Rhinolophus ferrumequinum: one gene and its partner. The protein of the gene in region 1 purifies or fractionates together with the protein of each later gene. This does not show direct contact. Links are inferred from orthologs where the notes say so. Each region holds a gene or a part of one and is shown on either strand. Other genes may lie near its edges.

What was found.
Region 2: the proteins of HDAC5 (region 1) and TBL1X purify together in Homo sapiens (affinity purification with mass spectrometry; 3 studies listed by BioGRID and IntAct, with this or other methods). This does not show direct contact. The link is inferred for Rhinolophus ferrumequinum from reciprocal best matches to the Homo sapiens genes HDAC5 and TBL1X.

What each region holds. Positions count from the first base shown.
Region 1 is NC_046304.1:39,223,829-39,230,663, forward strand, and holds the start of HDAC5 (histone deacetylase 5), read right to left. Parts: upstream 3,018-6,835; 5' UTR 2,653-3,017; coding exon 2,502-2,652; intron 1-2,501. UniProt on the Homo sapiens protein: Responsible for the deacetylation of lysine residues on the N-terminal part of the core histones (H2A, H2B, H3 and H4).
Region 2 is NC_046284.1:119,930,562-119,938,310, forward strand, and holds the start of TBL1X (F-box-like/WD repeat-containing protein TBL1X), read right to left. Parts: upstream 3,001-7,749; 5' UTR 2,888-3,000; intron 1-2,887. UniProt on the Homo sapiens protein: F-box-like protein involved in the recruitment of the ubiquitin/19S proteasome complex to nuclear receptor-regulated transcription units. Plays an essential role in transcription activation mediated by nuclear receptors.

The DNA.
Region 1 (6,835 bases):
CGGCCAGAGGGGAATCCAGGCCCACGGAAGGGAGGCAGGAAATCCCCCAGCTCTGCGTCCTGGGGAATCCCACACCAGAGTCCAAGCTCCCGGGCTCCCCAAGCCAGGACCAGGCCTGGATGAGGGAGTCCCCACTGTGTGCTGGGCCGTTGTGGGGGAGCCATCAAGGAAGACCTAGGATGGCCCTAGTGGAAGCTGTGATCTGTCCCCTGCCTCAAGCAGGAACAGCAGAGGGACCCGCAACCCTCATGCGCTCCGTCTGCCAAGGCTCTGGCTTACTGCTGGGGCACCTCACCATATGTATTCACCCAGAACAGAGCCCAGGCATCCTGCCGTCAGCCCTGGATGCCAGCCCCTCTAGCATGGCTCACTCACCCATGTGCCAGGCACTGTGCTAATGCTGCGGAATGGCCATGAACAACTTAGCCCAGAGAGCAAAGGACACCTCGAAAACAGGGTTCCAAACCGTTGCTGCTGGACGGAGTAGACAGTCAGTCCATCCTGGAAAGCCCCTGTTCCCTAAGCACTCACACGCAGAGCCTGGTGGCACATACCACTCAAGAAGCGTCCCTGGACACCTGTTTTTATAGCCACAGGCTTTAGCATCCTGTCTGGAGACTGATCAAGAGATGGTGGGGGGTGGGGAAAACCAGGCTGCCTGGGCCCTCATGGCCGTGTTTATCCAGGGTAGATTTTTTTTTAACCCAAAGGTTAAAGTGTTTCTATTTGAAACATCTATTTACATTCCAGAGTCCAAAAAAAAAAAACAAGGCAGCCAAGCTCAGGCCTATATCTGTCCCCAGCCACGTCACAGACACAGCATCAGAGTTGCGCAGGGGGGAACATTCTTAGCCCTCTCCCCGAGCCGCTGAGGTGACTCACGCCTCCCTCCTGCCAGCATGGACCACGCTACCACTCAGAAAGCTAGGCAGTGTGTGTGTGTTGGGGGGGGGAAGGGACAGGGACCAGGCAGCCTTAGGGAAGGGATGGGGGTAGCAGGGTTCCATCCTGCAAGAATCCTGGAGCCTAGCTTGAAAGAAGATGAGAAAACATGCTGAGGAAGAAACTTCAGGCCAACTGCCAGGGGTTGCTGGGAGGCAAGGGACAGCGGGAACAAGGCAGGGTGGGTGGGCTGATAGGGCATCTGCCAAATGGGGCAGAGCTGCCCCCAAGCAGATGCTCTGCACAGTCAGTCCTTTGCTTTCCAAGAGACGACCTTGACTCCTAGAGGCTTTGGAGCAGGGACCAGCAGGCAGGGTCTTTAGCTAGAGCTGCAGACTCCACTAGATGAGGGCTAGACCAGCTCCAGATGTTTACATCCCTTCCCAGGGGACTGGGTGGGGATTCTGTAGGGCCGGTCCCCAGGGTTATGCCCCTACCCTAGGAGACTACATGGGCATCCTTGCCCAGGCAAATGACAGGCCTTGTTCCAAAGGTTTTCCAAATCTTCCGAAAACATTCATCCTGACACATCCCAGTCTGGCTGCAACCTTATCCCTGGATGGTTTAAAGCCAAATCACAGCTCCCACCTTCCAGTTCAAAGCCTGGGACCCACACCCACGTATCCAGAAGCAAAGACTTCCCATACACATACACATACAGACATCCACACCCAAGTGCCAAGCCACTGCCAGGAGGGGCCAAGTGGGCATGAATCCAATAGGCCCCTCCCTCGAGGAAGCATCTTGTGGTGCCGGCCTGGTGGGGAGGCTGTGCCAGAAAGGCCTGATGCTGCCAACAGGTTCCTGGGAGGGAAGGAGGGAGGGAGTGGCCCAGCTCTGGGGGACCCCACCCCCAGCCAAGAGCCAAAAAAGTCCCTGCTGAGAAGGTGGCAGGGCTAAGAGGGTCCACATGCCCATATGAAGACACCTCTTTGCCCTCATGACATGGGAATAAACCAAGGCCTGGGGGAAAGAGACATATGGGGGAGCTAAGAGCTAAGGCAGCAAAGGTCCCTGACAGCTCAGCTGCTAGCCTCTGCCTAACTCCACCACAACTGCACAAGCCTCCTTGCCAGATATCTGACTCCCAGGGGACTCTAGACTGGGGACTTGCAGAAATCACTGCACGGGACGCTCTGCCCCTCAGAACCCAGCCAGAGGAGGTGGGGTAGTCTTTACTCTTGTGGACACTCAGCTCTGGCTTTTTCCCTTGCCCAGACGTGGGGGGCAGGCAGCCTGGAGACAGGTCACTGACCCACTTCCTCCCCTCTGACCACAGTGCCAACTACGCCAGCATTCTCTAGCCATCCACAGCCCCCAGCAGCTGATGCGGATCCTGCTGGGGGCCAAAAAGACTTGAAGGGATGTAGCCGAGTGCTGCTGGAGGAAAGGCAGGAAAACCCACCTCAGAGAGCGCGGCTCCACTGACTGCCATATTCTCAACACAAAGCCCCCCAGAGATATCTAAGCAGGACCCCATCTGGGCAAGGCTCAGAGCCAAATGCTCAAGCCCTGGGTGCCCAATGGCAGAGGGCAGGCAGGGACATTGAGGTACTTACCTGCCACAGGGATGCCGTGTAGAGGGGTCCGAGGAAGGATTTCCAAGGATGGTTCCCGGGCTGACATCCCATCTGCTGAGAAACAGGATTCTGTCTCATAGATGGTCTGCAGCATCTCCACGAGCCCCTGAGCCTTGGGCACCAGCAGCATGCCAGGGAAGGGGCCGCCAGAGGCGGGAGTCGGCCAAAGGGAAAGTGGTGGGGCGGGCGGGGCCCTCACTGCTCAGGGGCTCCCTCAGGCCCCTGCTGCTGGGACCCGTGCTGTGGGGAGGTGCCTCATCCGGCCCGGGCACTCCTGGCAGCAGGAGGAGCCAGAAGGCCCACGAGCTACAGCCCCCCTTTCTCCTAGAAGGGCATCCCACCGCCAGCCTGTCCCCAGCTCCCAGGAGCTGCGGTATGGCTGAGCACTTGGGGGACAGGAAGGGGAGCTCAGCAGGCAGGCGGGCTCTGTGTTCCCTCCCTCCCAGCGCTGGGTGACAGCTCTGGGCCTGGCTCCCTGCTCCTCCTTCCCGAATGAGCCTCCGGCAGCTGGCAGGAGACTGAAATAGCAGTTGGGGGAGGGCCCTGTCTATAAATAGGTGGAGCGGGCTGCCAGGAGCCCAGGCCTGGCGGAGGCCCCATGGGGGGAGGCGAGCTCCACCCCAGGAGGAAGCGCCAGGCAGGGGGATGGGAACAGAGGAGGGCCTGCACTCAGGGCCAAGGCCACAGAGCCCGTGGCCAGCGGCTGGGATGTGGAAGGGCACAGCCAGAGTCCCCATGCATCTGGGAGCAGCACCAGAGCTGGAGAGGGGCTGGAAACCAAACAACCAGATTCCATCCTCTATCTTCTCTCTCGCCATCCAGGGCAGGTAAAGGAATCCGAAGGGTCTGCGAGAGAGTGGCAGACAGGGCCACCTGGCCCTAACCTTGTGTTTTCCTTGGAGTCCTTCTAGCAGCCAAAATGGGTTTATTTAACTTCTGCCCTCCCTGAGCTGGGAGGTGCCTCCCCACCCCCTCAACCAGCAGGGAGACCCCCGAGCAGCAGCTAAATGACAGTCACCTCCAGCGGCTGCTCCGCTTCCCTCCAGGGGCCAGGAGACTCTTCCTGGACGGGCTTCAGCCCGGAAGGCAACCAGGGAGCACCTGCCCAGTCTCAGAGCACAGGGAGCTCTTCCCTGGCAGTGTGCCAGTTGCAATGCTAACAGTAGCACATACATTTAGTCTGCATGATGAGCTCGAGAGACAGGTGCAGACAAGGAAACTGAGGCATAGAGAGATGAAGTCACTCACCCTAGATCACACAGCTACTTAAATGGTAGGACTGGGATGTCTGAGCTCTATCACCACAGCCCACTGCCTCCTGCACGTGGGAGTACATGAAACTGCCCCAACATTTCCGTTAACAGGTACAGTGACCCCCAGTACCCAGGGAGGAACAGACTTGAGGTTGGAACCCCTCTAAGAACAGTCAAGAGGCTGACAACATCCAGCTCTTCCCCACCAGCCGCAGGCCTGGCAGAGGAACCCCTGCTCCTGGGGCACTGCTAGCACCTCGGGCCGGTGCCCCATGAGGACTGGTGATACCCACCTACCCGGCCCACTGCTGACCCGTCCCTTCTCCTCAGGCTGTGCCTCCCACTGGCACAGAGGTCCCACTTGGCCCCCTGACCTCACTGGAGCCTTTTAATAGCCTGGTTATTCCTGGGTCTGTGTCCCCCTCCCCCTTCCTGATGTCACAGTTGCTATTTTGGAGCCCCCTCCTGGCCCCTTCTTGCCCCCAACTGCAGGCATGGAGCCAGGGACACCTGTCCTCTCCCTGGACTGGATGACCTCACCCTCTTGTCAGGAGCCCGGGAGGAGCTGGCCAACCAAGGACACAGTGGCGGTGGCTCCTGAAGCCCATCTTCCCAGCCGACTTCTGCTAGCCAGGGATGACAAAGGTGCCTCCTGCCCTCAGGTGGGAGACCTTATGGATGGGGGAGGTGGCAGAGGTGGGCTTTCCCAGGCTGTAGACTGGCTGGCAAGATGTATATTTGGGGATGGGGTGTGGGGGAACAGGACCTAAATAAAGATCTGCAGCCTCACCTTTGGAGCCAGGGCAAACTCTAGAAAAATGGTGATGAAGCAGGGCGCTCACAGGGGTCTGGAGTGGGTGGACACTTCAGGATACGTCTGGGGCCCTCGTTCACCATTCCCAGCCCCAACCTCCTGGCCAACCAGGCTCTCTGAAGGGGAGGGGAAGGGAAGGCCAAGGTCCCTTCAGTGGGGTGCTAGGCAGCAGATTCAAGGGAGCCCAGAAAGCTGGGGCCAGCAGCCTCTCCCAGCTCAGTACTCCACCCACACAAGCTAGGAGCAACCGGAAGGGCTGGCTAGCCCTGTCCTGGCGCTCTCTGTCTGCCCCAGGCACAAGCCAGTAAGGTAGGGGAGCCCTGTTCTGGAGGAGAGGAAGTCACCTGTTACAATGACTCGAAGCAGAACCTGGAGTGTCCAGAAACCTAAAGAAAGAGAACTCTCTGCTTAGGGAAGATGGGAGCACCCAGGAGACTGACAGCCAGTCGTGGCCAAAGCCAGGGGCTTGGGGCAGTAACCAGCACTGTTACAATTTCCAGTAACAGCATGATGTGGGAAGCAAAGTATCAGACAGCCAGACAATCCTCAGTGCAGTTCCCCGAATCCTCCAGGGGAACAAGAGAGGACGCCTGACGTAGAGACAAGTGTCTTTCTTTACTTCTGAGATTCAGCTGATGCAACGAGATCTCCTAATGTCTAATCTCAATCCTTCCTGCTTTCTAGCCCCTCTCTCCTCGTAGTTCACGTCTCTTCTCCATCCTCAGCCATCCAACACCCCCACGTGTCATCCCACAAACCTTACAGAGCACCCACCACACGAGCCTCATTCGCAGCCGGCACCATCCCTTCCGACCCACAGTGACCTTGCTCCTTCCGGCGGAGGCTGGGCTCAGGTCTCCCAACCCCCTATACCTGGAAGAGGGGAACCCCATGCTGGCTCCTGGGGGCTCCTCCAGGCTCTCATTTCCTGGGCCCAAAAGGCTGGGATGAGGCCTGACCAAAAGGAAGAAAGCAATGTCTGCCTTGCGCACAGTTTGAATGCCAAGGGCTGGCCCAGGAGCATCCCAGATGGAGTGTGGGGTGCCAGCTTCTCTGGGGCCCCGGAGACATCGGCCTGCCTGCCCTTCAGTTCTCTCCTGCGCTTTAAGCCCAGTCATGCTGGAGCCCGTCGGCATCGCCTGGGAGCTGCCATGTGCCAGGTCCCATGCTAGGTGCTGGCTGAACCCTCTCATTTGAAACCAAGTCCAGGAAAAACGTAAACACCTACTTTGGCATCTTCCACATTCTCTCAGGGTTGACCCTGCCTCCTCCCACCGTCCCATTCTAAGCCTTCAATCCCTTTGGAATGATGGAGCAGGGAAGAGGAGGTGGAGCAGAACCCAAGCTGGAGTGAGCACAGAAATGCACCAAGTGGCACTTAAGTGGAGAAGGGACACCAGCAGTCCACTTCCCGGACCCCCAGCCCACGCTGGCACTGACCCACTTTCTCCTCCTCAGGGCTGGCTGCCCGCCTTCCCCAGGGGCTCAGAGGCAGAGCCTGAGCCCAAGGCTGGGAGGCAGGACGCCGAGGTTCCTGGCTCCACCCCATGCCCATGCCCCAGTTTCTCTGGTCACCCAGAAAGGAGGGGGCAGCTGCCCTCCCTCCCTCCCTCCTGGGAAAGGGAAGGAGAGAAAGTGTGGAGTGTGCTGGGAGGTGCTGGGCAGGCGGGTGTTGTCATGAAGCTTGTCTCCCTCCCACGCTGGGGACGAGGAACGTGGCCGCCTCCTCCTGGAGCCCTGTCGCCATCCAGACTGGCCTCACTCGTGCCCTCTCTTCTGGGCAGTGGCATAGAGGACAGAGCCGTGGCCAGAGCAGGCCTAGGTCACAGGTCCCAGGGCAGCTCCTCCAACCGGGTCGGGCCAAAGCCAGGCAGCAGACATACTCCGCCAGTCCTTCAATCCCACTGAGGGGAGCAGAGGTGATCAGCTCCAGAAAAATAAAGAAAGCCTAACTGCTTAATCCCCCTTTTGCCAGACACCCGCGAGCGGCGTGGCGTCCTCAGGGAAGCAGGCACTCCCATCAATGGCCCCTGCCTGTACCCAGGACTGCAAAAGAGGCGAATCAGGTCAAATGCTGGCGTTTGGCCCAGCCCAGAGGTAAGTCGATCAGCTCCCACTCCCTGGGAAGGAGGGGTAAGCCCCAGAAGTAAATTGCTCCGCGTCTCCACCTGCTGCCCCTCACCCAACACACCCTCTCTTACTAACCTGTTTGCTTATGAGGGCAAGGATGGACCACCTTCTAGTTT
Region 2 (7,749 bases), on another chromosome or scaffold:
GCCACAGGCATCCACTGAGTACATGAATTGAGGCTAGAATGACCAAAAGGGACAGAGCCGTTCCTTTCATTGAATTCTAATCGACCCTCATTATGCACACGTGACTGGTGGCCGCCACATTGGACAACACAGCTAGAGAGGAAAACAGACGGTTCCTGATTCTATTGAGAGATGTTTATACGTATACACAGATTTCAATGTAGATTCTCGTTTGTGAGTGTGTGTGTGTGTGTGTGTGTAGACTCGTAATTTAAACAGCTTTTTTCTCCAAATGGGAAAATTCACCCTAGGTAGTCAGGAAGGCAAAACAAAAAAAGGCCAAGCTTACGAGCTGGGCTTTGGGAATCAGACAACCCTCCCTCCACGACTATGTATTGCCAAGTTACTTAACATCTTTCAGCGTCCTATGCTGTGGCATGGAACTTGCTAGTATAGAGTTAGGCCCGGGAATTCCTTGGGGCATGGCATTCAAGTCGCATAAAGACAACTGTTCTCTTTGCACCAAGACCAACAGCTAACATTTACAGGCCGCTTTCCATTCCAGTTCACATACATTCTCTTCCCGTCCTCACACTGCCTAGTGAGTACAGCGATTTCAGTTCTCCTTTGTATTTTTACACACAGAAAAGTAACGCTCAGCAAGGTGCAGGACTTCCAGAGCCACGGTGGAGCAGGAACAGGGTGGACTCGTTCAAATCACACAGGGATAGCCAAATGTCACTGGTCATGATGCAGTTGGACTCCAGGACCCTATTCACCACTGTGGGGGCCACAAAGCCCATTGAAAGTCTCCTAACAGGAGGCAGACTCATGATGTCATCACACAAACGGAACGCTGAAGCTCCCAGAGATACAGATGGGGGTCCAGGCCCAGAAAGACACCAAACATTCTCCTTACCCAAGACGCCCAACCTTTCAGGAAGGGTGGGGTTTGGCAGATTTAGGGATCCACGTGTGACATTTAAATGGGGGTGTTGATAGTTCCTGGACTGACCGAGCCCTGGATAAAAGCACAAGAGTCAATCCTAGAGGATTCGCAGACACGTGCGCTGCTCTTGGCGAGTGGCCCCTTCCCACGTCCCACTGTCCCCTAAGGGGGCCCACCTTGCTCCTGGTGTCCCTCTGGGCCTAGCAGAGTATCTTATCTGGGTACATTTTTGAATAAATGTTTATCCATCACTAAAAAAGGGGAGGTACCTCCTTACTAAGATACTGTTGTACAAAATCATGCTACGGATACAACTGGTGAAAGCACCCCAGATTTTGAAACATTCACTTTTGGGCATCTTCAATAATACGGTGATCATTATTATTGTTGTTATTTTGCAAACAGTTTCTTCTTTAAAACTACTGGCAGAGGAAAACATCACTAGCCCACTGAAGGGGCAAATGTACACCACCAAATAAACCACCAAAAATCCCCATTTCTGTCCCACAGGTGTGTGTACACGGAAGAGCTGGAATCCCCTTGAGGGGCTATTTTAATAAGTGGCTCAAGTGACGAACTTCAACTTTTATCCCTGGATTATTTACCCAGCTGGGTGGTTTTCCATCAAAATCTGCAGCACATTTGACACATAGCGTCCTTTAAAATAAAAGCGTCATCTTAACGTCGTAATTGTTCCATACTCCAACATTTTTTTTCCCCCTAAAAGCATCTTTTCTAGGAATGACTAATTCTAAACTTTTCCTAAAATCGTCCAGAGCCATTTGTACCCCAAGCCACCGCTGGGGACCTCAGCAGGGCGTCCCCCTCCCTCCAGGTTTGGAGTCCCGCCCCTGCGCTTCCAGGTTAAACCAGGGACTTGGGCGGCGCGTCAGGAGAGAAAAACATCCAGAAGTCAGGTCAAGCCACATGTGACAATGCAAAGCAGAGACAGCTGCAGATGCGATAGGGGCTGGGTGGGTGGGGGTTTTGTTGTTGTTGTTGTTGTTGTTTTTTGGGGGGTATGATCCACAACATGACCTCCGACTCTAACTTTCTGGAATTTGCCATGCAGTTGTGCGGGAAAACCCCAGGCCAAGCGAGGAGCGAGCCCCGGCCCGGGCCTGACCGCGCACGGGCGACGCACGCGAAGTCCAGGCCCCAACCCATCGCGGGCTGGCTTCTAGTGACCCCCAATTGTCACATGCCCGGCAGCCACCGACACCCGAAGACGCACCCCCACCCGGTTCCGAGGACGGGTCCCCAGTGGGGAAAGTCCCTCCGGGAGCAGGGCCCGGGACGCGAATCTGGGGTCACCCCTCCCCCTAGCCCGGGAGCAACAGGTCTGCACCCTCCCCAGGCCGCGCTTTGCAGACCCCGCCACACCAGGGGCGACCCCCACACACCGAAGTCGCCCCCAGCCAGGTCCTCTCGCTCGGGCCGGGGGGTGGGGGGGTTCTGACTTCCTTGACAGTTTCTGCGCCTCGGAAACAGAGCAGCCGCGGGGCCTCGCCCGGCACTCACTCCACGGCGCGCCGCCGCGCGGCCACCCGGTCCGGGGCGGGCCGGCCGGAGCCCGGGATGAATGGGGCTCCCCTCCCCCACGGGGGAGCCCGCGGCGCCGCAGCTTCGCCCACCAGCCCCAGGGGCGGCAGACAAAGGGGACCCGGGGGCAAATGGAGCGCCTCCCCAAACTTACCGGCCGCCTCCCACTCCCCAAAACAAAGAAGCCCCCCCACGCGCCGGCACTTTGGGGAGCGGCCCCCTCGGGGTATTGTTCAGCCTGCAGGGAGCGCGCCGCACCCCAACCCGAGCCCCGGGGACAGTTGGGGACCTGCCCCTCCAGAGCTCCGGCTGCGGGCGGAGCGTGCGGGCGCCCCGAGCCGCCGGCCAGGCCCACCCCCGCCGGAGAAGTTTGCGCCCCCCCGCCCCGCGCCCGCCGGCCGGGCCCCGCGCACTCACCTCGCCGCGGGCAGGGCAACTTGTGGGGCGCCGCCGCGCCGAGCCTCCCTCCGGCCGGCCGTCGCCGAGCCGGGCCGAGCCGCGGCCGAGGAGGGCCCGGCGCCCCGGAGCAGCCTCGCGCCGCCCCCGGGCCGCCCCCGCCCCGCCGAGTCCCGTGAGGCGCGGGCGCTGGAAAGTTTCGGTGCCGAATGGCGGCCGAGGGCGCTGCGGCGGCGGGGCGGGGCGGGGGCGCTGGCGGCTCTCGGCTCCCGAGCGCGGAGAGTGGGGGGGCCGAGGCGGGAGCGGCGGCGGCGGCAGAGGGCGGGACGGCGGGAGGGACCGGCACGGGCAGTGACCTCAGGGGGGAGCGGCCGCCGCCAGAGCGCCGACCCCGGCCGGGAGGACTGCCAGGGGGGCCGCCTCCGCCGCCCCGGCCCGCCCCTCCCCCAGCCCCCCACACCGGGGGAGGGGCACCCGCGTCCCCTCCGGCCCCTCCCCTGCGCCCTGGGGGACCGCGTCCCAAACCAGACCCTCCCCCACTGGGGGTAGGGACGCCGGGCCAGCCCCTCCCCCACGGCGGCGAGGGTGAGAGTCCGCGCCCCAGAACTGCCCCTCCCCCGCGGCCTCTAGGGAGGACCCGCGTCCCAATCCAGCCCCTCCTCCACGGTGGGGGAACCTGCGACCCTGCAACGTCCCTCACCCCAAGCTTCCCCTGCCCCCACGCCTAGGGTGGGTGAGGGGAAACCGGGCCTTTCCCTACAAGCTCTGAACCCAGTCCTTTCCCCGTGGCCTCCATAGGGAGGAAGGGAACGCGGTCTACCCCCACCCAGTCCCAAACCTCAGTCTTTACCCCACTGTCGGGGTGGCGGGGACCGTAACCGGGGCCACCACCCCCGAGGTTTCTCCATAGGGGAAAGGAACCCGGGCCGGTGCTAGAGTGTTACCCTCCCCCACCGCAAAAAAGAAACCGCCCAGTTGCCCTAACAGAACCCTTGTAACCTGCCCCAGGGGGCATGTCCCTCAAAATCCGCGGCTTAGAGGACACCCCAGTGTTCTCTCCCCCTCCCCAAAAGGTGGGGGCTCAGGTGGAGCCCTCAACCTTTGCAAAAACAGCTACAGGGAAGGGCCAGAAACGCGTGGGGAGAAAGAAACTCAGACACACGGAGGTGGAGGCCAGGAGCTGGGGTGTGGGGGTTCCGGGAGTTGGGGGGAACCTCCTCCCATCCTTATCCCCACCCCCACAAGCAGGCTTCAGACCTCCCTCGGGCATTTCCAAAGTGTTTTATGTTGCAATGGCTTGCTTGGCCCAGCCCTGGTGCCCCCCAATCCCCAGCGTCCCTTCCTCCCCTCCACTTCGGTGACCACTACCCACCCCACGCGGCCTTAATTCAATGAAATAGATACCCGCGCCCACCCCAAGCACCTTCAGTGTCTGCTTTGTTGAATATTTTAAAATAAGTGTGCCCCTCCCTTTGGTGTACACTGAGCTTCCCGCTAAGAGCCCAGTACACTCAGCATTTTAAAGTGTAACCTCACTTGCTCTTTTCTGGGACACTGGACCATTTGTTGTTCTGGTGGCCGAGGGAAGGGGGCCGGAGGTGAGCTTTTAAGGGGCTGGTCCTCCATCAGAAAGGCGGACCTAAGATTTACCCTGCCATATATTGCTGTAAAAGGTCAATGATGTAAAACGACTGTTGCTACACCATTATTATAGAGCACGTCAATAAAAAATCCACACTTACACAGTCTCCATAATTGTGAATCAGCAGAATAGATTGTGTCTTATTACGTATCAGTTGCCATTCAAGACCACCCCCAAAAGGACGTGGTGGGGCCTTCCCTCGAGCCTGCCCTTCGTTGCTCCCGGACTCCCTGGGCTTGTGCGGGCTGATGCTGAGAGGTATTACATGCAATCGAAAAACCGAGGGTGCAATAGAAAACCCGAGCGAGCTCATGATGCAACCCTGCCCCGGTTACACGTGCTTCCCCTCCCCCACCGCCTGCTGAGGGTAGCGCGGCGTTTTTTCCGCCTGTAGGGTCACATTGTGGTTGATTGATTCTCCTTTCGCCTGGCTCAGTCATTCAGATTTGGAAAGTAAATAACAAGTTGACATCATTACAGCTTTCGGCTTTACCCGGACGCGGCCCTCGGCTACCGCAGTCTCTCGAGTAACCGCGCAGCCAAACTGGCCCTGTCTGGCTTACCGGCTCTGCCTGTCTTTAGCCGCTTGGAAATTCCAAACTGAGCTTGGTGAAAGGCCTCTTGGTATGTTTTGATTACTTGGCAGATGCCAATCGTTTAAAGTGTGGGAAAGGGATGGAAATCCTCGCTCCAAACTATGACCCAGTGTGACCAGTTTTTACAGCTGTTCTTGGGTAACTAGCAATGCAGGTGAGCTCAGAATCTGCCTCGCCTGTTTGATAATGTCCCAATAATCCCAACGGTCTTCTTGCAAGTCAGCAGCTTAGTGCTTTAATCGTAGACTCAAAGGAACCCCACCCTCTCACCCCCATGGGACTTTGTAAGACCTCAGACAGGAAGAGACAGACTTATGTTTATCGTAATATCACCGAAATTCCTCTTTCTGAAATGCTAGATGGTGGTAGGTAGGTGGTAAATTAGACTACTTTGTTTTACTCTGTTTTGCAAATTTTGCAAGGGTGCAGTCCTGTAAGATGGGAGAAAACAAGGAAAGAGGGAAATAAATTAGAGCAGGAAAGGGACTAGTGCTTTCTGATAAAAGTAAATATGAGGTCGTGAACAGCAGTGATTTCTACAGGTAGACACAGCACAATATCTGCGTATTAAACAATTACTTTTCCTTGCTGACGGGAGGGAGCCGGAGTATAAGAATCTGCTTGCAACAAATGCTATCAGCATTCCCCTTAAGCAGTAGCCAAAATGTTAATTGAAAGACAGGAGGAACCCACACCAATATATTCAAATAATCTCTGGCAAAGTAGCAAAGGAATTTCAATGGCAAAAGAATATCCTTTTTAACAAAGAGTGCTAGAAAAACTGAACATCCATATGCAAAAAAAAAAATAATAATCTAGCCACAGACCTTCCACTGGTTTAAAAAAAAAAATTAACTCAGAATGTAGAAGGCAAAAGTATAAAACTCCTAGAAGATAACATGGGAGGAAACATACAACACCCAAAGCATAACCCATGGGGAAAAAATTTGATAAGTTGGACTTTATTAAAATTAAAAACATCTGCTCTGCAAAAGACACTCTTCAGAGCATGAAAAGATAAGCCACAGACTGGGTGAGAATATGATATTTGCAAAATTCGTATCTAATAAAGGATTATATCCAAAATATACAAAGAAGTCTTAAAACCCCACAATAGGAAAATAATCCAATCAAAATAGGCAAAAGAGCTGGGGAAAAAACACACAAAACACACCCAAGAGAGATATAGAGATGGCAAATCAGCATATGGAAAGATGATAACCATCGTATGCCACTATCGTATTGCACACGATAACAAAACACCACCATACAGCTATTAAAATGGCCCCAGAAAAGGTTTTCAATGACAACACCGAAAGGTAACAGCATGCACTCTTTGCTGGTAGGAATGCAAAATGATATGGCCACTTTGGAAGACAGTTTGGCATTGTCTTACAAAGCAGGCAGTCTTACACAATCTAGCAACCATGGTCCTAGGTATTTATCCATCTACATGAAAAACATCCACACAAAAACCTACACAGGAATGTGGATAACAGCTTTACTCATCAGCAGACACTGAAAGCAACCAGATGACCTTTGGTAGGTGATGGGTATGTCCACTGTGGTCCATCCAGACAATGGAATATTATTCAGCACCAAAAAGAAATCAGCCATCAAACCAAGAATGGATATAGACAAACCTTCAATGTATGCTGCTAAGTGAAAGAAGGTGATCTGAAAAGGGTACGTGCCATAAGAGTCCCACTCCATGACATTCTGGAAAAGGCAAAATTAAAAAGATCAGTGGTTACCAAGGGTCCTGGGAACGGGAGAGAGGAAGGATGAATAGGCAGAACCCAGGGGATTTTTCAGGGCAGTGAAATATTCTGTATGATCCTGTGATGGGTACGTGACGTTTTGCATTTGTCCAAACACGTAGCACTGTACAACACAAAGAGTGAACTCTAATGGAAACTATGGGTTTTATCAATATCGATTCATTAATTGTGACACCTGGGCCACACTTAGGAAAGATGTTAAACTGCAAACGGTGTATGAGGGGTGTAACAAGGAAACTGTGCACAGAAACTCTGTTCTTTAAAAAATTGTCTTTTTAGAAAAAAGGTCGTAGGAAGGGGTATTAAAGTTATGAGAGTTCTTGTGCGACTTACTGCCCAGTTTTCCTTGAATCCAATATCTGATTTCCCTCAGGCCTCAAGACCTTAGAAAACAGCTGTATTTGGAGCTACAGCCTTTCATGTTGGGTAAATAAGTTAATGCGGTCGTTAGGATGAGTCCCGATGCAATGTGACCAGAGTCCTTACAAGAACAGGAGACGAGGACAGAGACAGGCACAGAGGGAAGACCACACAAAGACACATGAAGGAGAAGGCGCTTTGCAATCCAAGGTGAGAAGACCTGAGAGAAACTTCCTGCCTCCAGGATCGTGAGGAAATAAATTTCCGTTGTTTAAACCACCCAGTCTGTGGTGCTTTGTTACCGCAGCTTTTGCAGACTAATGCACGTGAGTTGTTGCTATGTTTTTCCATTTGGAATGTTACCTTCCGTTCACATCATTAGAATCCTGAAAATACCTTGTATTTGGGATGGGGGTGTTCATGCACCGTATTGCATTTGATCCCCCCAGTAATATTGAAGGGCAGGGACTTTTTTATGTCCAATAGTCAGAGGAGAAAACTGGA